5 linked regions of the Nothobranchius furzeri genome follow. The protein of the gene in region 3 purifies or fractionates together with the protein of the main gene of each other region. This does not show direct contact. Links are inferred from orthologs where the notes say so. Each region holds a gene or a part of one and is shown on either strand. Other genes may lie near its edges. The genes, in order: nup160, nup107, nup43, nup133 and sec13.

Evidence for each region.
Region 1: the proteins of nup43 (region 3) and nup160 purify together in Homo sapiens (affinity purification with mass spectrometry; 5 studies listed by BioGRID and IntAct, counting the BioPlex papers as one, with this or other methods). This does not show direct contact. The link is inferred for Nothobranchius furzeri from reciprocal best matches to the Homo sapiens genes NUP43 and NUP160.
Region 2: the proteins of nup43 (region 3) and nup107 purify together in Homo sapiens (affinity purification with mass spectrometry; 8 studies listed by BioGRID and IntAct, counting the BioPlex papers as one, with this or other methods). This does not show direct contact. The link is inferred for Nothobranchius furzeri from reciprocal best matches to the Homo sapiens genes NUP43 and NUP107.
Region 4: the proteins of nup43 (region 3) and nup133 purify together in Homo sapiens (affinity purification with mass spectrometry; 5 studies listed by BioGRID and IntAct, counting the BioPlex papers as one, with this or other methods). This does not show direct contact. The link is inferred for Nothobranchius furzeri from reciprocal best matches to the Homo sapiens genes NUP43 and NUP133.
Region 5: the proteins of nup43 (region 3) and sec13 purify together in Homo sapiens (affinity purification with mass spectrometry; 3 studies listed by BioGRID and IntAct, counting the BioPlex papers as one, with this or other methods). This does not show direct contact. The link is inferred for Nothobranchius furzeri from reciprocal best matches to the Homo sapiens genes NUP43 and SEC13.

What each region holds. Positions count from the first base shown.
Region 1 is NC_091744.1:79,861,828-79,867,845, forward strand, and holds the start of nup160 (nuclear pore complex protein Nup160), read right to left. Parts: upstream 3,767-6,018; 5' UTR 3,712-3,766; coding exon 3,621-3,711; intron 993-3,620; coding exon 884-992; intron 1-883. Other genes in the region: fibroblast growth factor receptor substrate 2, read right to left, coding at 4,706-5,737, 5,813-5,976. UniProt on the Homo sapiens protein: Functions as a component of the nuclear pore complex (NPC). Involved in poly(A)+ RNA transport.
Region 2 is NC_091741.1:38,077,629-38,083,145, reverse strand, and holds part of nup107 (nuclear pore complex protein Nup107), read left to right. Parts: intron 1-1,271; coding exon 1,272-1,343; intron 1,344-1,915; coding exon 1,916-2,004; intron 2,005-2,076; coding exon 2,077-2,152; intron 2,153-2,232; coding exon 2,233-2,346; intron 2,347-2,661; coding exon 2,662-2,752; intron 2,753-4,088; coding exon 4,089-4,168; intron 4,169-4,241; coding exon 4,242-4,301; intron 4,302-4,378; coding exon 4,379-4,524; intron 4,525-4,603; coding exon 4,604-4,652; intron 4,653-4,741; coding exon 4,742-4,811; intron 4,812-5,517. UniProt on the Homo sapiens protein: Plays a role in the nuclear pore complex (NPC) assembly and/or maintenance. Required for the assembly of peripheral proteins into the NPC. May anchor NUP62 to the NPC. Involved in nephrogenesis.
Region 3 is NC_091742.1:11,413,143-11,419,183, forward strand, and holds nup43 (nucleoporin Nup43), read right to left. Parts: upstream 4,134-6,041; 5' UTR 3,914-4,133; coding exon 3,800-3,913; intron 3,585-3,799; coding exon 3,462-3,584; intron 3,008-3,461; coding exon 2,930-3,007; intron 2,831-2,929; coding exon 2,668-2,830; intron 2,585-2,667; coding exon 2,449-2,584; intron 2,365-2,448; coding exon 2,213-2,364; intron 2,113-2,212; coding exon 1,992-2,112; intron 1,704-1,991; coding exon of another isoform or gene 1,700-1,703; coding exon 1,474-1,699; 3' UTR 1,205-1,473; downstream 1-1,204. Other genes in the region: pcmt (protein-L-isoaspartate(D-aspartate) O-methyltransferase), read left to right, coding at 4,277-4,457. UniProt on the Homo sapiens protein: Component of the Nup107-160 subcomplex of the nuclear pore complex (NPC). The Nup107-160 subcomplex is required for the assembly of a functional NPC.
Region 4 is NC_091747.1:67,766,207-67,771,318, forward strand, and holds the end of nup133 (nuclear pore complex protein Nup133), read right to left. Parts: intron 4,455-5,112; coding exon 4,374-4,454; intron 4,296-4,373; coding exon 4,231-4,295; intron 2,577-4,230; coding exon 2,488-2,576; intron 1,642-2,487; coding exon 1,505-1,641; 3' UTR 1,388-1,504; downstream 1-1,387. UniProt on the Homo sapiens protein: Involved in poly(A)+ RNA transport. Involved in nephrogenesis.
Region 5 is NC_091743.1:73,558,027-73,564,013, forward strand, and holds the start of sec13 (protein SEC13 homolog), read right to left. Parts: upstream 3,600-5,987; 5' UTR 3,470-3,599; coding exon 3,467-3,469; intron 3,276-3,466; coding exon 3,231-3,275; intron 2,565-3,230; coding exon 2,449-2,564; intron 2,285-2,448; coding exon 2,133-2,284; intron 1,450-2,132; coding exon 1,316-1,449; intron 1,169-1,315; coding exon 1,035-1,168; intron 922-1,034; coding exon 801-921; intron 1-800. UniProt on the Homo sapiens protein: Functions as a component of the nuclear pore complex (NPC) and the COPII coat. At the endoplasmic reticulum, SEC13 is involved in the biogenesis of COPII-coated vesicles.

The sequences.
Region 1 (6,018 bases), on a different chromosome or scaffold from region 3:
CCACATTTAAGACTTTTTAAGACCCTTTTTAAGACCACTTTGACCAAAATTAAGCTATTTTTTTAAATTAAATTTAAGCTATAATTTCCAGCTATTGCCTGGAACCGGTGCTAACCACGTCGCGAACGTGGCATTAACCATCCAGTTACCATTAAACTTGCACTTCCCCATGGCGCAAGCTCCTACTAGCTTAACCAGCTAATGTGCTCATCTAAAAATAGCCCCCTTTCACAACCAGCTGAGTGTGTACGGTTCCGCTTACGCCATTATCGTACACAAAAATGCTGAACACCAACTAGAAATTCACGAAAATTTCATAGTAATAAAATAATTTTGTTTATTGGGTTTTTGGTGATTTAAGACCTTTGGAAACTGCATTTAAGGAATATTTGTCATTTTTAAGGATTTTTAAGGCCTTAAATTTGGAAAAGCAAATTTAAGACTTTTTAAGACTTTTTAAGGACCCGCGGATACCCTGTATTAATGCGTTGATTTTTTTCAAATTAATAATCTTTATTAAGGATTTCAATTCCACTGCTCCGTTGAGAGTTGTGTTGTTTTAGAACAGGCTTGATCTACAGATAAACACGAACCCTTTAGATATTAGAGTTGCCTTATACCAGTGGTATTCAATTCTGGTCCTGGATGTCCGGTATCCAGCACGCTTTAGTTTCAACTCTGCTTCAACACACCTGATTTCAATCAGCGGGTGATTAACAGGCTTCTGCTGAGCCTGATGAGCTGCTGCACAGGTGAATCAGAGAAACTACTAGAACGTGTTAGATACCAGACCTCCAGGACTGGAATTGAATCCCCCTGTCCTACACCCACACACAGACCTGCAGGATTCAGATTCTGGACCAGCAGAACTTTACATGCTCACCAGAGGATGAATCGGTTGCTAGTGACCGACAGCAGCTTCCCACTCTCTTCATAATGGAATGCCCCGGAACTATCAGCAAATTTGATCCCAACTGTTGGAGCGCTCACACCTGCAGAAAAAAAAAAACACAGATATGAAGTCACCTCGAAGCTGAACTAACCAGCTGCCTGGTCAAACAGCCATTGTGACTAATAATGATGTGAAACTGTTTCATACAACAACTAATGTTGGTAAGCTCAGAAAGGACACAGAATTTATAAATATAAAACTAGTGCAAAGTCAGAAAAGGGTAGAATGCCTTCTCCGGGTCAGGGATGAGGTCCTGCCCCAAGTGGAGGGGTTTAAGTATCTCGGGGTCTTGTTCACGGGTGAGGGAAAACTGGAGCGTGTCTGCAGTGATGCGGGCGTTGTACCGGGCTGTCGTGGTGAAGAGAGAGCTGAGCCAGAAGGCGAAGCTCTCGATTTACCGGTCCATCTACGTTCCTACCCTCACCCAGTGTTGGGAGTAACGCCGTTTAAGTATAACGGCATTACTAATGGTGTTCTTTTTTAGGTAACAGAATAATCTAATTAATTACTTTTCCCACTGTTGCAACGCCGTTACCGTTACTGGGGATGGAAGGTTGTGCGTTACTATGTTCTTGTCGAACGTTGAGCAGCAGCGTGAGGCTTTCTGACCGCCACACTTCAGCTGCAGCCAGGAAGAGAGGTGTCGGTAACGCGCTTACAAACACGATGATGATTAGCCGGGTGGGCGGAGACCCTCAGTGTTCTCACTGTCTCAGTTGCTGCCTGCTGTAGACCCAACTGAGCAGTGATGGGAATAACGCCGTTTAAAATAACCACGTTAATAAAAAGATATATATATTTCTTTCTGTAACGAGCAAACTAATTAATTACCGTCTTAACAAAACGATCGTTTCTGTTACTGATAAGGAAATGCGTGCGTTAAGCAGCGCGGCAGCGAATCTGCGGGTCTGCAGCCGTGTCCTTCTTAGCGTGACAGCGGGACGTCCCGAAGGTCCGCTCACCTGTTCACCGCTCCGACGTCCTGATCTTCTACCTTCCTAGATCATCCAGCTGTAACCTGTTTCTGATCATGTCTTTAGTCCCGCTGTAACACTGATGCATCAGTCTCAGACGGCATGGAGCTCAGGTGTTACTAGAACTACCTGTGTGTGTTTACCACCCAGCTTCAGCTCTTCTGTGGTTGGGTCTGACCCAAGTTAGTAAATGTAAGTCCTCCATCAGGCTTGTGCCTCTTCTAGTGTCATTTTAAAGGATTTTATTTATTTATTTAACCGTTACTAGATTAGCAGCAACAGAAATGCTGCTAAAAACACACAATTATGTGAAGCTGGAAAAATTAAAATGCTGTGCAAAATTACATTTATTTCTGTAATTTAACTAGACTGAGAGACCATTTAAAGGCTCGGGAACCTTTACAGGTGTTTCTATTTGCAATTTTAAATTTTAGCTGATTGGGGTCTTGTTAAAAATCACACAGTGACCTTTTAATAGTCTAGATAAGTGTAATGTTCCTGTTAGTAGTTCCTCCTGTTAAGTGCTTATTTATTTAAATCGTTCAGGTTTATAAAAAACATTTAGACATTCATTTTATTATGTTCCAATCATTAGTCATTTATATTTCACTATTGTAGTAACTCTTGCACGCTTTAATGAAAAAGTAACTAAGTAGTTATTTTTCTTGGTAATTAGTTACTTTTATAATCTTGTAACTCAGTAACTGAGTTACTTTGACAAAGTAATCAGTAACTATAACTAATTACTTTTTTAAAGTAACGTTCCCAACACTGCCCTCACCTATGGTCACAAGCTTTGGGTAGTGACCGAATAAAAAAGTACAATAAGTATACTTTTGCAACGAACGTGTTTATTCTCTTGGCTAGATCCATAAATGTAAATCTGCTCATAAGATGCCATATTTCCCTTATTCTCTTAAAAATGTATAACTATTTATAAACAAAATTTCTCACTCGTCTAACAAAAAGTCTCAAAACGATTGATGCTTGTGGATTTTTGCACGTATTTGTAGAACTAACAGAGATGGGAATTGTGGCATCAAGTCATCTCCATGTCGTGTTTTTGTTCTGCTCTGCAACAAAATCAGGTGATCTCAGATGAACCTGGCTCAATCCACATCTCTGACCGTTAATCCCTCTGGCTGAATGTTCACTTACAGGTATTCACCTGTGTCGTATACGTCATGTTCTCCTGGTGTAGACTTGCACTTCGCTAAATAAAGTCCTTGACACTTCTGCAGGATTAGGGTTGAGCTTCCACATCCTCGTGATTTTATCTTGAGGCGCTCTATTAAAGATCGTCTTCTTTCTTTCTGCGTGAAGAGGACTTACTGACTCCATAAAGAAGACACCGTAATCCAGCCTAGCTGCCTCAGGTTGGGTTACACCGCAGCTTTGATCTGCGGTGGGCTGTTATGCACCTACATACCCCTCAGAATGATGGCAGTTGCGCCCCTGTTCAGTATGAGTAACAGGTGAGCAACCTTTGAGTTGACCATACAACTGTTTCACTAGAGCTCACCTGTTCGGTGCAGCTGCCCTGAACATTTCACATCACAGAGACATGTGAGCACGCGCAGAGCGAGAGGACAGCGTAGCTAGCCGCGGCTAGATCAGCGCGGGATCCAGTTAACGTGAATGGAACATTAAAAGTAATGCCTAACTGGACTTCATTAATCAGAACTCACACTCACCTGGACTCACTGTGACTTCACGGAACCGGCGCTCTGTTTCCCGCTCAAACCCGCAAAACTCCACGAAGCTTCTCTCCATTACAGCCGCCATCTTCTCCGTGGGGCCACGTGACACTTGAAAGCTGCGCACGCAGCATCTTAGAAACCCAGTGAAATAAACGCCCCACTGTAACCATAGATATGTCTGTGGACGCAACGTAGCAGTAGCGGGCCGCCATCTTGGATGGGTTCCCAATCACCCGCAGAGCATTTATTTCGACTGAAGGTGTTAACTTCAAAACTCATTTTACGGATTTTTTTTAACAAAGTCAGATACATGGTATGGCATGATAAGAAAACATAAATGAATTTTTTTCACATTTTAATAAAAAAACAAGTTTGTTAATTTGAAGGTCTGTCTCTCTCTCTCACACACACACGCTGAGGCTGAAGGGAAAACGAAACCCTGATTTTCTATTTTACTCTATTTTATTCATTTGTTTGAGTGCTGAAGGTTACGATAATAGCCTAGTTCCTAGTTCTCATTTCTCCAGGTGAATGTGCCGCCATACCAAGTCAAATTACCCACTGTGGAATTAATGAAGTCTATTCTATTCTATATTTGACTTTGGCACTTTCCACGTCTTCTGGAGATCTGTGGAGTCTCACATAAATATCAGGACCACATGCTCCTCCAGCTTCTCCACCCGAGAACCTGCTGCTGCCACTTTGACCACTAGGTGGCAGCAGATGCTTCACTGGAAAAGACTGCACCGATTACTGAATTTAATGGACAGATGCATTTGTGTTGCGAATGGCGGTGTGGCTCAGAGATGAAGCAAGGCGCTCGCTCGGCAGCCGATTCAAATAGAAGCAGACTTTATTGTGTCAGCTCTACTGTACATGTGTCATCTTACAGCAGCACAGTGACTCGTACAAAAAGATAACTGGAATGTTTGTTCAGTAATACTGATGTGTACCATATAAGGAAAGCAGTCTGTTACATCATCACCTTCAGAGGTATAAAGTACCAGTTCACCTGAACAGGTGAGACTACAAGACGATCCATCTCCTATCTGAGGAGTCCGTGCACAGCTCCATGCGCATCACGCTGCGCTCTTGCTTGGCAGCTCAGTGCTGTTGTGTCTCGTCTTGCGTGACGTGCCGTCGTCCCGCGGCCGTGCCTTCTGTAGACTGGACATGGCGGCAGTGCGCTCGATGTCGATTAGCGCATAGGGTTCTGTGCGCCGCGTGGGTGTGGTGGGGGGCAGCGGGGAGGTGGGGGTGCGGGGTGTGTGAGGGTTGCTGCCATCAGAGGCACCTTTGTTTCCACCACTGCTGTCCATCTCCACCTCGATGTAGTTGAGCGTTTTAGTCGGCTCCATGTGGCCCGGCAGAGGCGGTCGGCGGAATTCAAAATTAAAAATGGTGGGGCAATCCGCTCGACGGCGGGCTGTGTCAGGCCGGTGCGCGCTGAGTGGCGCGGTCACGTTCTCTGTGTTGACATAGTTGTGAGAAGACTCGAGGGCAGCAGACAGAGGGTGGGAGTAGGGGTGATGCAGCAAGCTGTAGGGGGCGTGGTTAAAGCCGTTGAGCGATGGAGTTTTCAGGCTGCCGTCGGAAATCTCCTCCTCTTCGTTGCTCGGCTTCCTGACCTCCCAAACCGGAGGCAGCGCTGGCAGGTTCTCATAGTCCAGCAGGGCAGTGCGTCGTTGTGCAGAGTTGTTAGCGTTCTGCAGGTCAGGGGTCAGGGGGGGTGGGCGGGTGTGACGAGGAGCTGTAGGCGGGTTGAAGGAGGAGTCATGGGAGTGTGTGGGCAGAGGCTCAGACTCTGCAGATATCTGGGTAGGGCCATCAGTTTCTCGGGGCTCGGTAGCCTCTTGCAACTCCTGCCGCCTCCTTTTCTCCATCTGTTGCTTCTGAACAGGGGTGGGCCCAAGCACGAAGCGCACCCCCTGAGGCTCCAGCAGCACCTGGGGCTCTGGCTGGGCACTTGACTCCCCATGATTCCTAGGAGGTGGTGGTGGTGTGGGAGGACTCATGGCAAGCGGGGAGGCAGGGCTCTCCAGGGGGGTGGTGACTGTTAGCGGACTGGGCTGGTCCTCCAAGAGTCCTGTAGTGTTCACATAGGTGTGCACCTGTAACACAAACATACACAGCATTACCACACAGACCAGGTGGGTGTCAGACCAGTTGATGGGTGGGGAACTTACCGCCTCGTCGGCTACCAAGAGCAGGTGCGTGGATTCCTCCCCCACAGAAGGTAAGCGGGTGCTGGCCACTGAGGGGTGACGAGTGGATGGGTGGGATGGGGCCTCACCCACAGAGGGCAGCCGACTCACCCCATTAGGCACCGTTGGTACAGAGTATCCCAGTGCTACGAACACACACAAACAGCTGAGTGACATCGGCATCATGT
Region 2 (5,517 bases), on a different chromosome or scaffold from region 3:
GAGCCGTTAACTCCTGGGAATCCCATATGCCGTACCGCCGTTAACTGGCGGTTTGAGCCGTTAACTCCTATATGCCCTACCACCGTTAACTGGTAGTTTGAGATGTTAACTCCTGGGATCTAACGTCTAGCAGCCCACTGCTGTCACCTCGGTTGCTGTAATTAGCTTTTTGAATTTAATAATTTACTGAATTTAATCTCATTCACTCACCAACGCGCTCCAACGGTTCCCTCCTACAGAGGATTGGTTCACTCTGTCGTCTCCACACAAATCTATAAGAATGGAATTAATTTGATAAGCTATTTAAGTTTCCTTTTTTTTTTTAAGTTGCATCGTTAGCTTTTTCTCTTCTTTTTTCTTTACTCACCGCGTTGGTTCCAAGTTCCTAGCTCTTATTAGAAGGAGTCAAGTCCGCCTCTCCCTCTATCTATGCGGCACCCAAATCAGGGTTCTTCACGGCCTCGACCGTTGTTTTTTTTTCTCTCTCTCTCTCTCTCTAACCGCTCAGTCTTTGCTTTCTGTATCTGCGTGCTGCACAGCCGTTTGTCTCTCCTCTCGCTCAGCTGCGTCGCACGGTTTTATTTCGCGGAGGCGGGACTTATTTCTCTCAGCCAATGAAATTTCAGATTCCCACCTGGACCAATAGTATACAGCTTTCCTCTTCTGTTTCTGTTAGTGATGTTCAAGATTCTTGTTTTAACCGATGTTTAATATTAAACTCGTTATTTTAGTTATTCACCCTTCCAATAATTCATTATGAAATTATCTATTAGTTAATTAGATATCTATTAATTAGTATTGTTAATTTCCTTAATTTATATTTTATATTTTATCTAAATTGAGGATGGATCATATTAGTAAGCCAATTAGTTAATACCTCATTAAGGTTCTAGCTTCTGGGTTACATCTCTTTAAAGCGAGTTCTGCTGAGTTTAGGAGCCTTCTTCTATCTAAATGATTCACCTGTAAGAAACCCTCTGAATATGTTCGGGCACAATGAAGCTCAGTAAAAAGCTTCCAAACCCTGAAGAAAACCGTGAAAGGATCTGGAGGAAACCTGGATGCTGAAGCTGAGCAAAGGCTGAGGAAATAAAAAGAGCTGACATTTGGACAGAAGATGCTGCTCTGACCTCTTGAAACCTTTAAAAGATGTCTGCGCTGTCTCAGACCAGCTGACTCCTAACAATAAACGATGTTTATCCCTCCCAAACAACGTCAGTCTATCGCTGTTTGACACAGATTCCTTCAGACGCGTGTGTCTGTGTGTTCAGGTTCCCAGCGAGAGCGAGAAGGTGGTGGTGGAGCAGCTTTTCCAGCGAGACAGCATCGTACGACAGAGTCAGGTAACAAATTCAGATTCCTGGGTGATGGAGGCAGCTTAGAGGACCTTTCTCCAACAGCACTACTCAGCCTAAAACGGCTTGGTACAGCGTGGGTTAACTCAGCACAGCTCACCTCAGTGTTGCTGGTTTTCCTGGCAGCTCCGTGGCAAAGATTGGGTGCGCCCCTCATAGTGTGTGTGGGGGGGGGGAAGGTGCTGGGGAGGGGTACATCTTTACTCGTGATCCGTATTCTACACAGAGACGCAACTCGGCACAAAAATGTCGGTGATGTTGAACAATCTTCTCAGTTTTTGGCTTTTTGTCAGACTCCGAGCCGGGACATGGCAGTGACTCCACCCACTAGCCAGTCAGTGGCTGACAGTGGCGTTTGTGGACTGGGTCAGCGTTCTTCCAGCCACAGGGAACCAGCAACTGAAAAGTTGGGGGACAATACTGAACCGTGCTTTAGGAAAAGGTGGCCAGATCTAACCGCACCCACCCGAATGGCGCTGAGAATGGCTGTTGGAAATTTGCGTCCTCCTACAGATAAATAGATGTGTTTCTGTTGTTCATTCTCACTCGCTTCACTACAGCTGGTTGTTGATTGGCTGGAGAGCATTGCCAAGGATCAGACGGGAGATTTTTCAGATAAAATTGAATACTACGCTAAAAATGTCTGCTGGTAAGTTCCTGCTTTTCTGTTTCTTGTAAATTTTACAGACGCGTGTGTTTAAACATCATTTGTGTTGTTCAGGGAAAACACGCTGCATGCACTGAAGACGAGGATGAAGAGCGGCTCCGCCTTTTCCATTCCTCTGGTCACTGAGCTGGTGAGCCTCTCTTCTGCACCACTAACCACATTTTAAACTCCTCTCTCCGAGCCACAGAGACGAATGATTTGTCTCCTCAGGACCCCGACGCTCCTCTACGACAGCGACGCCCCCTGGTGGATCTGGACTTGGAGGATGACGCCCGACTCCTAAAGAACCTGTTCACCCTGATCCGAGCGGGGTTGACGGAGGAGGTGAAGGAGCAGATATCCGTTCATAAATGTGGAATTTCAACTAGAGGCTTTAACTAAAAATACAATCTGTCTCGCCTCAAACACGGCAGAAGTAGTGAACCAGAGAGCTCTCACGGCAGTTTTCTGGCAAACGCTTCAAATAGAATTAAGAAGTCATAAACATAAAGGTCACAACCTTAAAGGTTTTTATGGACATGTAAGAGGCTAAGACTCCAACTTGTTTAGCATAGAAATAGTTTGGTAAGATTTGGACGCAGACTCACACTAATAAACGTCTCTGAAGGGAAAAGTGAGCCGTTTCATTTTGATCTACAGGCTCAGAGGCTGTGCAGACGCTGCGGTCAGGCCTGGAGAGCTGCGACTTTAGAAGGATGGAAACTTTACCACGACCCCAACATGACCTCAGGTAACACCTGACCTCAGAGAGGCTGTGTGCACCGCCTACCCGCTCCACACAGGTCCGGTCAGAGCTGATGTGAGCGGCTGTGAATTTGGATGGTCCTGCCCCTGCCACAGCAAATATTCTGTTGCCTAGCAACCGCGGTGACGCTAAACGAAGTGAAAACTTAACTTGGTGGAAACTACTGCACACTCCATGTTTGCTTCCCCATCATCTTTATTCATCATGCTGCCTCACTGCCACCTAGGACTGACTGAATAGTGTTTGGTGTTCGCCTCGAGAGCAACCTGCTGGCTTGATGGTCATCTGTAAGTCGCTTTGGACAAAAGCGTCTGCTGAACACATAAACAAACTTGGCACATGAAGAACTACAGTACCCACCGTGCAAGCTCGTTTATGATTTTTCTTATAATTTTTATGGATGTATTTAAAAAAAACAAACATGCAAACACAACAGCTTTAAGCTTTTTATGTTTTTAACCATCAGATGTTAATTTTCCAGCATTTAAAACTAATCCTCTCATTGATACGCAGTGAAAATGGAAGGATGACGCACCTGGATTTGGACGCAGCCATAGTCCACATTTACACTCCGACACTTAACTCGTTCACTGCGACTAAAGGCGTCTTGCATTTTTTTACTGTGTGGGCGTCGGACGAGCCCCCGCACCGTGAGAACAAACATCCCAGCTCTAAAGCTGATCTTCATCCGCGTACGTCACACGTCACGTGATCAGGAAGCAGAACATCCATGTGTTAGGAGATCGTTTTGGGCCGCTGCTGTAAAAAAAGTGAGGCGCGAACTGGAAAAGCTTCTGCCGATCACAATTCAACAACGGATTATGAAAGAACGGATAACGCTCGAAACGCGCGGATTCTTCCTGATGTAAGAGGTGAGTCTCCTCTTTGTTTTGGTTGTTTTGGCGTCGACATCATCCTAGCGCGCAGCGTTCTGTGACTCTTAAAAAAAACAGTAAAAACGGTGAGAAACGCCAGCAGCGAATGAGTTAAAGGAATATTTCAGTCATTCTGACATCTTGTTCTATCTCTTAATTTATCCACCGACATCCTGCCTGCTGGTGACATCACTGATTAGGCAGCGTCAGAGGTAATGGCTAGCCACATCTGTAACAAGTTTTCTTGACTCCTCTGAGATTACGCCGACCGTTTTCTCCTGACCTCCTGAAACCCACCTGGATTAATTCTGCCGCTCCTTCTGCTCCTGACGCTCTCTGAAGGTTCCTTGGGCCCGTGTGAAGGATTAGTAAATCATCCTCACTGCTGGTGAAAACTTTACCTCCACCATCCTCTGATGTTTTCTCTCACTCTGGTCTCCCTGCAGGTAGTTCACAGTTGCAGCCTGCTGAAGGAAACCCAAACAGAGGGATCTGGAAGGCCTGTTGCTGGAGGATGGCAGAAGAGGTACGGTGCACTTAAAGTTCAGCTGAAACTGAGAAAAAACAACGGTATGAACCGAAACGCCTGTATGTTTCAGGACCAGTTAAACCGATATGAGAAGGCGATCTACGCCGGCCTGAGCGGAAACCTCAAACCAGTAATTCCATTTACAAAGTAGAGGAGTGATCAGATTGATGCGTTGACCTGTGGAGGTGACTGGTGGTTTTTGTTCAGCTCCTTTCAGTGTGTGAGTCATGGGAGGACTGTGTGTGGGCCTACTTCAGAGTGATGGTCGACTCGCTGGTAGAGAAAGAGCTTATGTCGTCGGGCATGGCCCATCAGGAAGTAGAGTCGCTACCCCGAGAATATCTGGAGGCCAAGTAGGAAACACATTAACTGGAAGAAAATATTCCAAAATAAAGTTTCTGACGACTGTACTGTCTGGGGTTTTCTTCACAGTTGGACCATGGAAAAGGTTTTTGAGGATCTCCAAGCGTCAGAATCAAAGGTGACGCTCTCGCCGACCGATTGTGTGGATTAAAATGAGAAATGTCTGACAGCGCCTCATCCTGAAGCTCTTTCTGTGTTTATGTTCAGAGAGTTCTGGATGAAAGTAAAGAACATCATCACATCATCCAGAAGTTTGTCATCCTGGGAGATCTTGACGGTAAAACAACCCAAATCTTTGTTGTTGTTTTTTTCTTATGGAGGCTGAAAGGGATCAAAAAGCTGCTGATGGGCACGGGCCAGCGTGTTCCCTCGCCCGGACCCGGGTCACCGGGGCTCCCCTCTGGAGCCAGGCCTGGAGGTGGGGCACGATGGCGAGCGCCTGGTGGCCGGGCTTTTACTCGTGGAGCCCGGCCGGGCACAGCCCAAAGAGGAAACGTAGGTCCCCCTTTCCATGAGTTCACCACATGTGGAAGGGGCCGGGTGGTAGCTGTATGCAGGGACCTTGGAGGTCTGATCCTCGGCTACAAAAGCTGGCTCTCAGTATGTGGAATGTCACCTCTCTGGTGGGGAAGGAGCCGGAGTTGGTGGGTGGGGTTGAGATGTTCTGACTAGATATAGTCGGACTCACCTCGACGCATGGCTCTGGCTCCAGAACCAGTTTCCTTGAGAGGGGTTGGACTTTCTACCACTCTGGAGTTGCTCCCACTGAGAGGCGCCGAGCAGGGGTGGGCATACTAGTTGCCCCCCATCTTGGTGCCTGTACGTTGGGGTTTACCCCAGTGAACGAGAGGGTAGCCTCCCTCCGCCTCCGTGTGGGGGGACGGGTTCTGACTGTGGTCTGTGCTTCTGCACCAAACTGCAGCTCAGACTACCCACCCTTTTTGGAGACCTTGGAGGGGGTGCTGGAAAGCGCTCCTTCAAGT
Region 3 (6,041 bases):
AAATGTTTGGGTGAACTTGTGATAAGTTGAAAACAGTGAGGGAAACATGTGGAAAGTGATCATTTAGAAAAGTTTTACAATACAATTCGTTTTTAATCAAATTAAAACCTTCCAGAAAATAAAGTCTAGGAACACACACGTTTTCTATATTTTGTTCTCAATAATTAATGATCTGGAAATACTCAAAACATATAAGATACTTTTTCATGCCTCTCAATCCTTTTGTAAATAAATAACCTGTTTCTGTCACGCTTGGAAGTCATGTGTTGATAAAAAAATAGTTATGATTGTTTATCGTTTACTTTTGAGTGAAATTCGGCGTACGTAAATTTTAAGGTAAAAAATGTCTCGATTGGAACTGACTTCATTAAAAGACCCCATTCCGTGTGTATAGCCTCCTTAGCACTCTATGCTAACATAACGCTAATTTTACGTAAATTCTCCGGCGTTGGGTACGGATTTTTGTCACAATTAAACGTTTATAAGGATAGTCAAAAGAGTGGGCGAATACTGAGTTTAAGAGTTTTAAAAAGGATTAAAATCAAACAACACAGCAGTTTTCAAGCGGCCTGTGTGTAATAGGAATCCATTTGATGCTATTCAACAACAGGTTGCGCATTAGCCTGCTAGCTCCGATAACAACAACTCACCAAAGTCCGCCGCTGTCGCTTTTCCTATTATTAACGGACAGTAGTGGTTTGCTGACCCTCCTCGGCGTCGAGGACGCGATTTGAAGTTAAAATGCCCTTGTTGTTCCGCGCCGACTGGTTCCTAGTCTTGTTGAATTCCTGGGATATCTGAATGACAAGTACAACAGCTAAGCTAACGACGCACCATCAGACGCTGGACTTTCACAATAAAAGTCAGTGGAGAAATTACTTTTTTGCTAAGTTTAGAACAAAATAACACTAATAAAACTAATGAAGAAAATTTTAATGCTTTTTTTTATAAGTTTTTTTTTGCTAACCTGTTAATGAAGTCCAAACACATTTCACAGCACAAATCTTAGAAATAAAAAAATAAGAGCATTAATATGTATAAAAATAAATCAATTTCCCTTTGGGTGAGCACATAACATCTATTTGTAAATTTACAGAGCAACATAAGAGCTCACAAGGCTGACTTTGACATTTTTATGTTGGTAGGTTTGATTTACAATTTTACTTGATTTGTCAGTATAAAAAAACGTAACATCCTGAGACAATTTGAGAAAGTTACATTTTATTTCTTTATTGTTTTTTAAGTAATCTGTACAAAACATTATTAATCTGAACAATTGTGTACAGAATGACATACAAAAACACTAATCCATATTCTGTCACTGCAAAGAATGAAGCATTGCATCAGACACAGAGGTCTTTCATTGCGTAGGTATATTGGCTTTTTGTGTAACAAAAAAAAAGTCTTCCAATGTGTCACAAAACATCAAATTAAAATTTGCATTCATGTATTTATTAGTCACCTCCAGATCTTTTAAACTGGGACCTGTTTGTTGATAAAAATAGCCTCTCCATCAGTTCCACAAACTAAGCACTGTCCAAGCACATCCAAGCTGTTGACAGACAGCGTCTGGCTGGGCAGCATGTGGGTCGTCTCCAGGCGGCTTTTACTGGAGTCTCCGTTGAGCCAGGCACTGATGAGGGACTGGTTTCCTCCAGCAAGGGCCATCGCACTGCGAGAGGTCACGCTGCTGTTTCTGCTACCTGGAAACACAACAATAACACTTTTTACAGTGAAATTACGACAAATAGTACAACATGACAATGTTTAATAGACTGACCTGGTGTTGGACATTATCAGGAAATTCTTTGTTTATTTAACCCTAAATAATGTAAACTTTCAGTAAAACATTCAACTGGATATTTTCTTGATTATGGCTTTTGTGTTTCCATAGAATCTTTATAATTAAGAAAATAGAAGAAGTACATAGGCAGCCTTTTAAACTGAATACCAATAATAATAATAATAATGATTATTATGATGAATAGGACTTGCCTTGTAGAAAGGAGGGCATGTCTGAGTGGGAGGACGTCTCCCAGTGCAGCAGCGATCCATCCTCTGAACACGTGAACAGGTGATCTGGGTTGGTAGGGTGGAAGTGGACCTCCCACACTGCCAGGAAAGTTAGACAAAAAGCATTAAAAAAGTGAAAAATATTTAAATATGTGTGTAAATTATATGTCCATTAAATAATTAAAAATGTACATCTTACTTTCAGCTGAGTGGGCCTCCATGAGGGATGAGGGCATGCTGCCTTGCCTCACATCCCACATACAGAGCATTCCATCCTGGCCTCCTGTGGCTACAATGTGCTGCTGGTTTGGATGTCTGTCAATGCAGTACAAAGGAACTCTGTCTCCTGACCTGATTGGAGGAAAATTAAAATCCACATACATCAGCAAAATAGTAGAATTAAAAATGGGGAAAACGTGCTAAAGCGGATCTTACAAGGACAGAATCTGTGATGCCGAGTTGCTCTGTTGTCTTAGATCCCATAGCTTTATTTGTCCGATGGAGTTCACAGTCAAAATCTCCGTCGTCCTCAGGTAAGTCACAGCATGAATCGTGCTGCTGTCAGCATTCTCTACCAAATGTACCCGCAAAAGCATGTTGACTTGACACCGAGTTAAAGTGTACAGAGTTCTGAATGGGGTGGTTTAATCTCACCTATGACTTGAGCCATACAATCCTGGTCGGCTCTGAGGACAATAATCCTGCCGTCCTCCCCAACTGTGATGATCTCAGGGCTGCTGCACACAACTGCAGTGCAGGGAGCATTGTCACAGGGGTAATGGTGCGCTTTCACCCACTGCTGGGAAACTGAGATTGTCTGATGTAAGAAGAAAAAATGATTTTATAAATAAACAGCAAAGGCAGCAACACAACCTTCATACAGGAGTTGACATCTTTTATGAAAGCTCTACTGCACCTGACTGTTGTGATGGTGGCGGAAGATGGTGACTGCTCCCGTTGATGAGGCCGTGACGATTCTCTCTTGATCCAGGAACTATAATCAAGTAGTATAATCAAGTCTAATTTGGAGGAATTGGACAGCTGAAGCTCGACTAAAACTGAGTCATGCAAAACAATGTCCCACGCACGTGTCAAAATTTCAACAGAATGGCTGCAAAACAAATGAGTCTGTGTTGCAAATCCTCCTGCTGACTATAACAAGGCTGTGCACTGAGAAATCCTGCAGACCTACAAAGAAACAAAACTATTGATGCATAGAACAACAGATTTGCCTTCTGTATTAGCAAAATTCTGAAATGCGCAGAAAATGTACTTTATTTGTTTTTATGTGCATCTCTGCAGGGTTCATTGTTGTTTTAATTTCTTTAAAGTGCGTACAGCACTTTGGTCTGTCTTCTGGTCGATGTAAAGTGCTTTATAAATAAAGTTGATGGTGATGAATAATTGCATTATTAGTATGTTATGACATTATTGTTACAGCGTCTTACCTGGAGGCCAAGAACATCTCCATCGTGCTTGTTTTCACAAATAAGCTGCGGATCTCCTTCAAATCCATCTTCCAGGCCCGAATTTTCGTAATTACCCACGGACCAAATAGATATCTTGTTTTCCTACAGAAATAATTTTTTTTTTAAATAAAGGCCACATCCTTGCAAAAAAAATGACCAAAACGAACCTGACAGACACACAAAAAAGCAAACTATGTGTAACAAGTGTTAAATCCTTTTTGACAGTTACAACGTGTAAGTGTGCATAATCAGGAGAAACACAGAACATTTGAAAAACTGGGTAAATTTGGTTCACCAAAAATATTCAACTAGCCAACCTCGTTGTCCCACGATCCCGTCGCAAAGATTTCTGGTTGTTGTAAAAACGAAGACGACACAGGACGCCATCTGGCCTTGCTGACTTTTTGGGACACGTACTTAGCACTCTCCATGAGAACAACCAACGTTTCTGCTGCCTAAATACGAAAAATATTCTTATTGATGTTAGCTTAGCTCTATGTACGCACCCACTAGCTTTAAACGTAAGTACGGTGGCTCAACAGGATCAAACAATCTGATCTGCGTTTCTCGCAAGAAATGTGAATTTGTACATTCCGCCACCTAGCGGTCGTCTCCGTTGTTACTGCGGCAAAAACCTGATAAAGCACTGCATGGCTGAGGAACGTGGCTTTTATTCCCTTTCGTCTGACGCTGACTTTGATGCATCATGAACAGATTAATTATATTCTAAAATGACATATTTTTCTGCTTGGTCGTGCATCTGAGAGGCGGCTCTGCTCTGTAAAATCATTTGGATGTCTAGTGACGTATCCGCCGCTACGCCGTCTGCTCTGGAGGTTGTCAGCTTCTTTGGTAAAACTATTGGCGCAGGCGCGGCACTTACAGCTGCTGTCTACTTACTCCGTAAAGTCTGCTTAATAATGGCCTGGAAATCTGGAGGAGCCAGCCACGCAGAGCTTGTCAACAACCTTCGCAGTGAGTCCGGTTGCAGGTTTAAAGCGGCAGCAGCGATGAACTTCACCGCCGCGTCGCCAGAAAACGTTGTAGTTTGGAGGCTGGGGTTAGCTTAGGAGCGGTAGCTACTAGCAAGCTATGTTTATGGTGACCCAGCGTCTCCTCCCGCCTCTCCACCCCTTTTCCTAAACCACGTTTTTCGCTGTGGGACCATGTGTGGGACAAGGCAACGCTTTTGTCACAGCAGGGGGGAAAAACCCAGCAGAAATGACATTTCCGTTTTGTTGTAAATCGCAGAAAAGTGGTGTCCTGTGGGAAGTTAGCTTAGCATGTTAGCAGTATGTGCGTCATTTGAGATTTTATGCTACTGCCCACTGTCATTGATGTCTGTGTCTTCTACTGGACTTCAATGTGAATGACAGTAACAGCTGTACATGTCCGGATAGTTTCTGCTGAGCTTTAATACTCGGATACATTTAAATAATGACAAGTTGCTGTATCACTGCAGCTGTTAGCTACATAGCTCTGTGCCAAAGCCCACGACTCATTTCCATTTAAGAAGCCTGATTGTTGAACATTTTCAAATTTCTGTGCATATATTTTAGCTGATGTCTTTCCATGGACATTTAATATCCTTTCACAATATTTTAATAAGAAATCGATCAACCTTAGTCGATCTGCAGAAATCAAAACAGTTTCTTTATTGTTTGCACACATTACAACCTGCAAAATGTGTTTTAAATTATCAAACAAAAAAGTCAGAGTAATTTTGAGAATTTTGTAGGAGGGTGTGCCTAGCGTCAGCTTGGCTTTCTGGGCTTATAGACACGACCTATTTTTCCAGTTTATATCTAGTTACCAGTTCAGATCTTGTTTTTTTATATTCTAAATTAATAAAAGTTTATTCATGTAACCAGCCTGTCAAAAAGACAAACTATGAAGTAAAGAAAACTGTAATGCTGGCATAGAAGTAGGGATGTAAAAGTCAACCGAAACCAGGAACCGATACCAATGCAGTTGCCTGAAAGTGGCTTCACCATAACTTGTCATTTCTGTTCACCTAATATTTCAGTTTTGTGATCATTTCTATGAATATATTTTATTTTTTATCTACCTCACAATCTTTTCCTGTTGAAAGCAGAGAAGAAAATAAAACCTGTATTCCAATTCATTGCATTATTTGTGTGGTAGAAGTATCGGCGAGTACTCAGATCCAAGTATCAGTATCGTATCGGTTTGGACAAAAGTGGTATCGGTGGATCCCAAGTATGCTAAAAGACATACAGTGTCATTTCCTGGTTCTCCAGGACAACAATCCAGCACATTTTAGACATTTCTGTTTCAACACACCTGATTAACAGGTTTCTCTGGACCTTGATGACATGTCTAAAAGGTAATATAACCACTGAAAATCATTACAATAGCAAAAGCATCCTGGTTATTGTTCCAGGAAGACCAGGATTGGACACAACTAGTGCAAGAGGAACCCCTGACAATTGTCTTTATGGTGTTTTTGTGATCAAATAAAAGAAAAAAATGTCCTAACACCTTCTGTTGCCTTTGCAAAATACTGTACATCAGTAAAAGATGGATGACTTAGCTGTT
Region 4 (5,112 bases), on a different chromosome or scaffold from region 3:
AAAGAAGACCGACAACCAGAAAAGAGAGCGACATGTGGAGAGCAACGACACAGAGTCCAGAGAAAACCTGAGACCGCGTTTTGACACAACCAGAGGGAAACCGAAAGACACGTTTTTATACCGACACGGAGATCTTTCCTGGAGGACAACGGGAGGGAGGGGGGGGAGAGAGAGAGAGAGAGAGAGAGAGAGAGAGAGAGAGAGAGAATAAGTATTTGGTCACTTCAAACAAGTAAAATCTCTGGCTCTCACAGACCTGTAACGTCTTCTTTAAGAAGCTTCTCTGTCCTCCACTCGTTACCTGTATTAATGGCACCTGTTTGAACTCATTATCTGTATAAAAGACACCTGTCCACAGCCTCAAACAGTCAGACTCCAAACTCCACTATGGCTAAGACCTACTGTGAAGCATGGGGGTGGGAACATCATGCTTTGGGGCTGTTTTTCTGCTAAGGGGACAGGACGACTGATCCGTGTTGAGGACAGAATGAATGGGGCCATGTATCGTGAGATTCTGAGCCAAAACCTCCTTCCATCAGTGAGAGCTTTGAAGATGAAACGTGGCTGGGTCTTCCAACACGACAATGATCCCAAACACACCGCCCGGGCAACAAAGGAGTGGCTCCGTAAGAAGCACTTGAAAGTCCTGGAGTGGCCTAGCCAGTCTCCAGACCTCAATCCCATAGAAAATCTGTGGAGGGAGTTGAAAGTCCGTGTTGCTCGGCGACAGCCCCAAAACATCACTGCTCTCGAGAAGATCTGCATGGAGGAATGGGCCAAAATACCAGCTACTGTGTGTGCAAACCTGGTAAAGACCTATAGTAATCGTTTGACCTCTGTTATTGCCAACAAAGGTTATGTTACACAGTATTGAGTTGAATTTTTGTTATTGACCAAATACTTATTTTCCACCCTGATTTACAAATAAATTCTTTAAAAATCCTGCCATGTGAATTCATGGATTTTTTTTCACATTCTGTCTCTCACAGGTGAAGTGTACCTATGATGTAAATAACTGACCTCTGTCATCATTTTAAGTGGGAGAACTTGCACAATCGGTGGCTGACTAAACACTTTTTTACCCCACTGTATCGGTTCCGTTTCTGATGCCAGATATTTCTTCCGCTTTTGTTTTATTTATTTTGAAAACGGTGGTGCTGTTGACAAAGTTAAAAGCAGCAACTTCCTGACCAATCACAGGCTTGCGGTCTACATAACTGATGAATATTTAGAAAGTTGTACTCGACTCCTGTTGGAGAGCCCTTGCAGCCAATCCAGACCGAGTAGTATAAACGAGGCATTTAGCCACATCACAACCTGCTTCTCTATGGAAATTAAACTTATAAATTAAACTTGCTACATTTTTGTGGGAAAAAACCCAGAACAATTCAGAAATAAATGCATATTTATTTAGAAAATGAAACATTTGAAAATATAAGATGAAAACGAGAAAGTGAAAAATGCAGACAAAGCGAGTCGGCTTTGTTGAGAGCATGCAGGGTCGTCACATTTGAGCCTGAAGGTAATGTTCATAATTAGCTCGAAGAACAAACTCAAAACAAGGTTTGGATTTCAAAGAACTCAGCTCATCGAGTTCGAGCAGCTCTTTGACTTCGGGCAGGTACGTCTGCAAGGGAACACCTGAAACAAAGGTGGGAGAGGTTTGTTTTATTAAGCTACAATTCCAGGTGGCAATGGGAGAGATATGTTGCTTTTTACACATTATAGACAAGGCAGCTTTATTTGTAGAGCACATTTCAAACACAGAGGCAATTCTATGTGCTTTACTGTTATCAGGACATGAAATGAAAACACATAAAAACAAATTAAAACACACACAGGTAGAATTACAGTTTAGAGCTAAAGGAGAAGACAAAGTTGCATCACAGATTACAGCGGAGACGACGCATGGTAAGAAACTATTCATGTAAAGGCTGATGAGTACATGAGGGTTTTAGTTTTAAACAACACTAGGGCTGGGGCAGGTCTGAGGTCATGGGGAAGCTGATTCCATATGTGAGCAGCATAGTAACTAAATGCATCTCCACCATGTTTGGTTCTGACCCGAGGTTCTACCAGCTGATTGTTTCCAGGGATCTCAGAGCCCTGTTGGGTGTTTATATACAGGAATGAGATCGGACGTGTATTTTGGTCCCATGCCATTGAGTGATTTATAAACTAGTAGTAGCACTTTGTAGTGTATTCTGTAGTTTACTGGTAACCAGTGTAGGGATCTAAGAACAGGAGTGATGTGCTCCGTTCCCATACATACAAGTCTCCGCTGCTTCAGACCAACTCAAAATCCTTTCCTGGCTGAACTAGTCTCCTTCCTTTACTAGGCATGGGTTCATTACATGTTCTACCACTTTTACATTTATGGAATTTCAAACTACATGTTTTTGCTGGCGCCGTCTACACTCAGTGAACCATTTATGTCGTGATTATTGCTAGCGGAGTATTATATCCTTTAAAGCACCAAGTACAAACCTTCTTGTATTACTTTGAGGAGGATCTTCACAAAGATGCTGTCCTTAGCTGCTTCTATAGGATCGTCGTTCCCATCAACAGAGGACCAGCTGAAAGGCAGGCAGAAGCAGTCAAACACATGGAAGTCAATCAGAAGTCATCCATCAGTGAGGCACTAGGAGGCATCACCCATGGCCTGGTTCCACTCATCATTAACAACAGAAGAGAGATTGTTTCAGAACTTTGCATCAGAAGTCCAGAGACTTTGGATCTTTAATGCTTTTTCATCGATTCAACAAATCGCTACAATAAACAAGTTCATGGACGTGTTGTCCACTTCCCTCCACCGTCGCTTCATTTATACTTTTATTTATACTTCATTTATACTTTATAGCTTTGGGTCATTTAAACCAGTGGACAACCTGGACCTTTTGGGGTAAATTTGCAGCCATTTTCAAAACAAACGGGGGACTCTCTCACTCTTTCTTTGAGAGCTTCATGGCTGTTGCCAGTTATGGATCAGCACCAGAACATTCTAGATGACAAGTGAAGACGAGTCACTCACAGTAAGTAGACATAAAGATAAAAAACATTGATTGTACTATCTATTTGTTGGTACCTGAAACAATAACTTCAGAAAGATTTACAGACGACTATTTGCCTCTAATTCACTGTTAGCATTGTTAGCTTAACGTTAGTCTCTAGCCTGCTTCACCCAATATTAGAGTAAAACACAAAGATGCCATGGCTTCTTAGGGGTACATGAAATCACTTCTTGGTCGCTCCTGTTTACTGGCTTTGTTTTTTTTCTAAACAACTCTAGAGCTTTTGCCTGCCGGGTCAAATTACAAGTCCCGGTGCAGCAGCGTTAGCTCGCTAGCGACTCGGCAGCCCCGCCGGCTCACAGATTGTAAAAACTGACAATCCCTCCAAGCCGGCTGAGATGGAAATCTGTTTCGATGTAACCTTCTTTCCAACACCTCTCCTCGCTCACAGGAAAAACAGACGGCCTTTGCAGCGCAGCGCATAGCCTCAGACCCCACCTATCCCCACCATGGACATGTGGTTCTGCAGCATCTGCAGCAGGATGTCCAGATTCAGACACATCACACCTTTCCCTCCACCACCTTTAGGAACCTCGGGGGACTATAGACATGCTGTTATGATGTCATCTTTAGTGCAACAGCTCATCATGCAGTAGCTTTATTTTTACTCCTCACTACTTTAGTTTTTTTATACATTTCTGGTACACCGATTTATAAAAGGGGGACCGCAGGATGTGTTCCAACTACAGGGGTATCACACTCCTGAGCCTCTCTGGTGAGGTCTATTCAGGGGTTCTGGAGAGGAGGGTCCGTTGGGCTGTCGAGCCTCAGGTTCCGGATTAGCAATGTGGTTTTCGCCCTGGTCGTGGAACACTGCACCAGCTCTATACCCTTAGGGGGGTCCTGGAGTGTGCCTGAGAGTTAGCTTCACAGCCAGACAGGACACGGGGAAAATAAATAAATAAATAAAAAGATAAAAGCAAGTCTAAGTCTAAACAAAACCTGGCCAGCAGCCAAGCTGAAACATGAACAAACGTCCCTTAAACAAAGAACATTTGACCCGGTGAGATTGTTATTAAAACAAACTCTGGGTATTTAAAAACTAAACTGCTATTTCACCAGTTTTACAGTTTAATTTCAGCCTAAAGTGGGAGGGGGTGATGAGGTGTCGGAGGTTTGTGACTACTGAACCGATAACCATACACGTGTCAGAGCTTACTCATCTCGTCTGAGTGCTTTGCCGAAGATCTCACACTTCAGAGCATCAATGTCTACAGAGTCCTCCTGCAACGCAAACAGAAAAGCCTCATGAGCTAAAGCCAGATCGATCCTCAGCAGTCCGACACATGAGCAGGAAGTCACCTTGTGGATGTACTCGAGCAGGTCCAACGCCTTTTTGAAGTCGTACTCGTTGGCCCTCCTGTTGTCATCACAGATGTAGAGCTGCAGAGAAAGACACTTTCAACACAAGCGACCGGCTCCTGTTGTACTTCAGCAGGACCGCCAGCTGGTGACTTCTTCCCAGCAACGATGCTCCAGGAAGGCACGGCTTGCAGCAGAGCTGAACGACTCTGATTTCAAACCATCACGTGATCGTCGACGCTACGGGTTTGTTGCTCGCATCCGACTGACTCAGGATCTGTAGTGTCAACTATTTTACACGTCTGGAACACACCAGCTGCGAAGTGGAGCGCTCACGAAATTTGTGTCAACGAGTGCTTCTGCTCACGCCTACTGTCTTCCGACCCCCCCACCGCACCCTTGTGCCCTTGCTGCGTGTGTGTGTGTGTGTGTGTGCGTGCGCGCGTGTGTGTTCATTTTCATCTCTCTAGTCTGTTTAGATACACAAAAATGATCACATTTATCAATTGCAGTGTTTTATTTTGAAAATTTTCTTTTATTTTGTTAAATTTACCGGCTTGCCTCTTCTGCTTTGGTTCGACTTCTTGTCAGAATTGATGCGGCTCCGAAAAAAATCAGAGCTCACACCAAAACGATCGCTGCGCGGCGCGAGCCTCCGTGGCGCTTCGCAGCGGATGTGACCGAGAGCGTAGGTCAACAAGGGCGCCGATCAGAAGCGCTCGCCGTCCCACTGCGCTTC
Region 5 (5,987 bases), on a different chromosome or scaffold from region 3:
TATGGAACAGTTTAAATAAAAAGCTATATTTACAAAAACAATACCGCCACAGGTCGTTGAGAGGTGTGCAGAATGAATGTAGTTTCTCCTTTAAAAGCTATATTTAAAAAAAATATGTATCACATTTTTATTCTGTCGGGCACAACGCCGGGTTTATGTTTACATCTACCAGCCACTGGGCACCATTAAGCTAAAGCACCCGCTGAGCAAGGCGAGGCTGGGACTGTGTAAAATGGCTGACTTGACAAGTCAAGCAGCTGATTCTGAGTCCAGAAGATGTTCTAATGATGAATAATAAACTCATTAGTAGAAATTAGTCTATATTCTGTACGATTTGTCTCTAAACACGGTGCTGGAACATGTCAGCAGTGAACCAACATCCCAACGGCTGGAAAATTAGTCCTGTTGTTGCAATACCACCAGAGTGTCCCTATTCCATATTTAACATTTAATTTCTCTAAATATTTTCTGAAACATGTCATCTATGGCTCCACCTGGTGATGAGGTGAAAAATTCAACATGAGATTTCTTTAGAAATACAACCTGCCCCCCCTCTCTTCCTTTTGTATCTTTCTTTCTCTTTCACCTCTGACTCCGTGTCTGGTCGGAATTACAAAGCATTCAAAAACAATAACAATAAAGTTTTAAGTACCAGGTGTGACATTAAAAGCAGACGCTTTGATGCTCCACCTGAGAGTAAATCTGTAAGGCTTGTCACCAGCATTCAGACATCAATTCTGTTTGCTTCACAGCCAGACAGGACACGGGGGGGAAAAAAAAGAAAAAAAAAGAAATCGGACCTGGGAGCAGCTGGCGATGGTGCTGGTGGGAAGACCAATAGAAGGAGCCCAGCCGACGTCTCTGACCCAATCACTGTGCGCCTCCAACTTCTGGTCCTCTTTCCACTGACCGTCTTCCTCTCTGCAGGCAGAACATTATTCAGGCCACAGAATATTAGCTACATCTGACGTTCACTGTTGAAAGTGTTCTTTTTTTTATCCATACAGGATGACAGATTTTCAACAGCAACTTACTTCCAGAGTTTCACCAGGTTGTCACATCCGCCAGAGACGAAGCGTTTGACGTAGTTTGGTTTCTGACCTGATGGCTGATTGATCAGGCTGCCTGGAACTACAGCAGGAGCCCAGCTCACTGCATTACAGCCAATCTGAAGCAAAAAATAAAGCTTTTAATTATTCTAAAGATACACTTCACGCCCCAAAAGACACAGAAACACTAAATTAGAAAAGGTGAGACAGAATAAAGTTTAAAAGATTGGTGACAACTTAGGAAAACCATTTCATTTTTAACTCACGGTGTGTGCGTTGCTGATCTTCTTGACGTCCCACTGCTGATCACCAGTAAATGTGAGGAGGGAAATTGCTCCATCTGAACTGCCACAGGCTAGGATTAGACCAAATTCATACGGACCCCAGCAGACTGAATTCACTGCAAACACAGAGACAGAGTTAAGGACGAGATCAAGTTGTGTGGAAAACTATTCAGTCAAACTGATCTCTCAGCCCCAATATATGAACATGAATTTCTTTGTAATTTCTTAAAAAGGAAGGATCAATTAGAAAGGGAAAAAGAAATGTACTCAAACAAAAGAGAATGTTGTAGAAACAGAACTTAATCTGAATATTTCATTTTTCTAAAGGTGTTGGCAAAAAAAAAGAGAACATATCTGAAACAAGACGTGTACTTTGGTGCATTACACTGACCTGTCGGGCAGAAGAAGAAATAAAATTACAACATTAAGATCAAAACATTTGTTATCTGTAAGAAAAACGGAACTTCTTCCAGCATTACTAGCACCTGAACTTCTTTCAAGAAGGCCACATGGATTAGCAGAATGAGGAGGAGGAGCACATTTAAACCACTAGAGGGATATTCAATTCCGGTCCTGGAGGGCCGGTATCCAGCACATTTTAGTAGTTTCTCTGCTCTAACACACCTGATTCAATGGTTGAATCACCTGTGCAGCAGCTCATCTGGCTCTGCAGAAGCCTGTTAATCACCTGCTGATTGAAATCAGGTGTGTTGAAACAGTTAAAACTAAAACATAATGGATACTGGCCCTCCAGGCTTGGAAATGAACACCCCGGCACTAGAATAATGGAGAACTCTACCTGATGACTCGTGTCCAGTGTACTCATACATCTTGTCCCAGGTGCCGTTCTCCTCCTTCCAGATGACGACTTTGCGGTCGTATGAACAGGATGCTAGAATGTTGCCGAACATTGGATGAGCCCACGCCACCTGCCACACAGGGCCCTCGTGGCTACATGATGCAGGACACACACACACACAAATAAATAAATAAAAATACATTACAGAACAGGTGAAGATTAAATCTTTAGGAAATAAATGGAAGTGTATTGACATTCACTTGACAACTCTACTTACGTAAATTTCTGTGCATATTCCAAAGCTTAGATCTCTTACCCTCTGAGGTCTGCCACCAGGATCTGTCCACCATTGCGGACGTCAAAGATCTTAACGGTGCGGTCAGAAGAACACGTGGCGAGTCGAGTCCCGTAATAGTCCATTTGGGCATCATGCTGAAACAGACAACAAAGCAACACCAGGAATGTTGGTGGGGATTTCTATGGGGCAGCAAAAGCACCAAACAATGGAAGCATGACACCTGGTTTATTCATAAATGAACTGATGGTGCTAAACTGAAACCCATTCCTTAAATCTTTCACCATCACATAACAAATGTGCGGCATAAACTGCATCATTTGAATGTTTGTTTTGGTTTTGATTTCCTTAAATTGAAACATTGAGAACATGATTAATCTTATCTTTTTAGGGAGAATGTGAATACGTGAATGATTTCGGCTAGATTTTCCCTACAACTAAAACGAAAATGCAAAACACGCCGATTAAGTGAAGTTTAAAGACTATTTAACAAATTTTCACAGTCAACACTACAGAATAATCCACATAGCACTGTTTCTGTAATTATTACACTATAGCATCTGGTACAGTTAAGACAAACATTTTGACTGAACGATCTAAAAGCACTAAACTAATTAAAACAATGTGCTACTCCTTTCTCAAAACACACATCCCAACAGTATTACATATTTAAATTAAAAACTGCTGCTTTACACAGAACACTTACACTTGTGGTACTGAATGAAGATAAAAGCTACAGCCGCTAACTGTTAGCTTTTAGCATCAGAGATAAAAATAAAACTGGATAAAACATAAACACTTACGATCATATCCTCGTGTGAAGTGTCCACCGTGTTTATAACGGAAACCTGCAATTGACAAACAAATAAGAACAAAATCAAGCAAATATAAAACTATATCCAGACAGATTAGCCTCCTGCCGTTAGCGATCGTGCTAATGGATTGACAGCTACCAAGACTAGCCAGCAAAATGTAAACATAAAATCAACATCCTAGAATATTTTGAGCTGAAACTAAAACAAAAAGTGACGAAATTCACCATGGCTGTGGCTAAACCGTGTAAACAAGAAGCCCCTGTTCTCTATCGACTAACTTCACAAGGTTCACAATTCCGACGTGGCAACAAGTACAGAAGCCGTTTCCTCCACCGAGTCCCACCTCACTTCCTACCGGGTAAAACAAAACGCCAAATGATAGTTCTGCGTGAATTAAAAAAGAAGAATAATAAAAACTTTAAAAACGCTTCATTTAACAAACAAACAAACAAAAAATAATCAAACAATAAAAAGGAAACAGTTTATTTGAGCTAAAAGCTAAAATTATTGATGGAAACTTAAATGTACAAAGACCCTCTATACATAGAATAGAATAGAATAGAATACCTTTATTGTCACCATACAGGTGTAAAGTGAGATACAGAGCATCTCCTACTCAGTGTAAAACAAACATACTTGGGACACACACACACACACACACACACACACACACACACACACACACACACACACACACACACACACACACACACACACACACACACACACACACACACACACACACACGCACACACACACAGTACATTTACACCTGTCTGTAATCATATTATAATTACTAATAAAATAGTAACATGAATTCACGTAAACAAATAGAAAAAGACAGAAAACAGAACACATCGATACATTACATTCCCTTTATCATTTCAATACAACATTAAAACAAAAAAAAAACATTATTTTAAGAGGAACAAGTGCTTCTTTTTCAGGTCTCCTAAATATCAACTGGTAATAATAGTCAATTTTTGAAGATGTCTCTCAGATTGTGATTTTTGGACAGCAAATTATCACGTCGTTACCCCAGATGACCACAAGGTGACGCCATAAACCCACAATAGTCTGACCTGACAGCTGTTTTTATCCTAACCCACCAAGGACCAGGTTCGGCCTTTTACTGAGGTCCTTGCTGCTGCAGATGAGGGCTCAAGCAATTCTGTATGACCCTCGCTACATAGCTGCAATAAACACGTTCGTCTTCCTTAGCGAGGCGCTGATGGGTGTGGATATGAGGCACCAGACCACGGTAACACACACACACACACACACACACACACACACACACACACACACACACACACACACACACACACACACACACACACACACACACACACACACACACACACACACACACACACACACACACACACACACACACACACACACAAATTATTCCATATAAATATGAAATATCAACCTGACTGATCTTTGAATGTTTAATCAGAAGAATATAGTTACTTTTACTTGTTCAGGGACCATAAACACACTTTGTATTACTGTAATTCAGACAGAGTCAGGTATATAGTTTATGAAATTAATTTAATTCTTTTACAAAATTAATATTTATACATGACAAGATATGAATAACGAGATGCGATATTGTGGATGTGAGGTGATGTAATGTGATGTGTGAGGTGGTAGGATGGAAGCTAGATGTTTTATCAAGCCCACTGATAAAACATCTTATAGCCCCAAATTGCAATTTTATATGAAATAAATGGTTTATTGACAAGCAGCACACTTACATATTTATCTAGTTAAAAAAAAGTAAATAAATTCCCACTTGCAGCACTTGGATCCTCCACCAGAGAGTAGAAGATAAACAAGATGTTCTTTTTGGGTTATTTACATGAATCACATTTTTGGTTTATGTTTTTTCTCCTCACAGTAAAACATCATTTTTTTCTTTTCCTTCAGCTGTTTTATTTTCCCATTTCCTTATTTTCCCTTCATCTTTCTTCCTCTTCATCCCTCACCCTTTCCTCTAGGCATCATCTTCTCCCTGACAGACAAGTCCACCTCCTCCACCATGAGGATCGATGCTCTCTCCTTTAACGTCCTCCTCCTCTCACACCCTCCATGAACCTTTTAGCCACACATGCAGGTTCTTCTATGTGGTTCCCTTCAGAACACGTTGAAGCTGAATCTACGTAAAATAAAAGCCTGGCTAGTGTCACGGTCTGCTTCTGCGTCTCCCCTCATGTGTCTCCTTGTGTTCTCCCCCATCTCTAGGTTCTCCTATTGTGTCTCCTAGCGCCCTCATGTTGTCCTTGTCTGCATCTTCCTCACGTGTCTTCTTGTGTTCCTCATTTGTCCCCAGATCTGCAGCCCTCTAGGTTTCCCTCCCCAGGTATCCCCCTCCCAGGTCCAGTGCTCCCGTGGTCCCCCTTAGTCACGCCCCTGTAGTTTTTCTTTCTGTAGTGTTTTCCTTTAGTTTCAGCTGTTCATTTTATTAGTCTCTTTAATGCGTTTTTCCCACAGGTGTTTGTGGTTTTCCTCCCCATTAGAATATTAGTTATGTTTGCTGCTCTTCTTGTCTTTAGGTTTTACTCTTAGGTTATGTTAGTTTCCTCCCTGATTAGTTAATTGCTTTCACTTGGTTTCTCTCCCCACACACCTGCAGCTCATCTCCCTCTCATCCTCCCCAGTGTATAAAACTCTGTCCTTGTCTCATAGTTTTGTCGGTCCATTGTTTGTTTCAGCGTTGTTTTGTCCCCCTCCACTTGG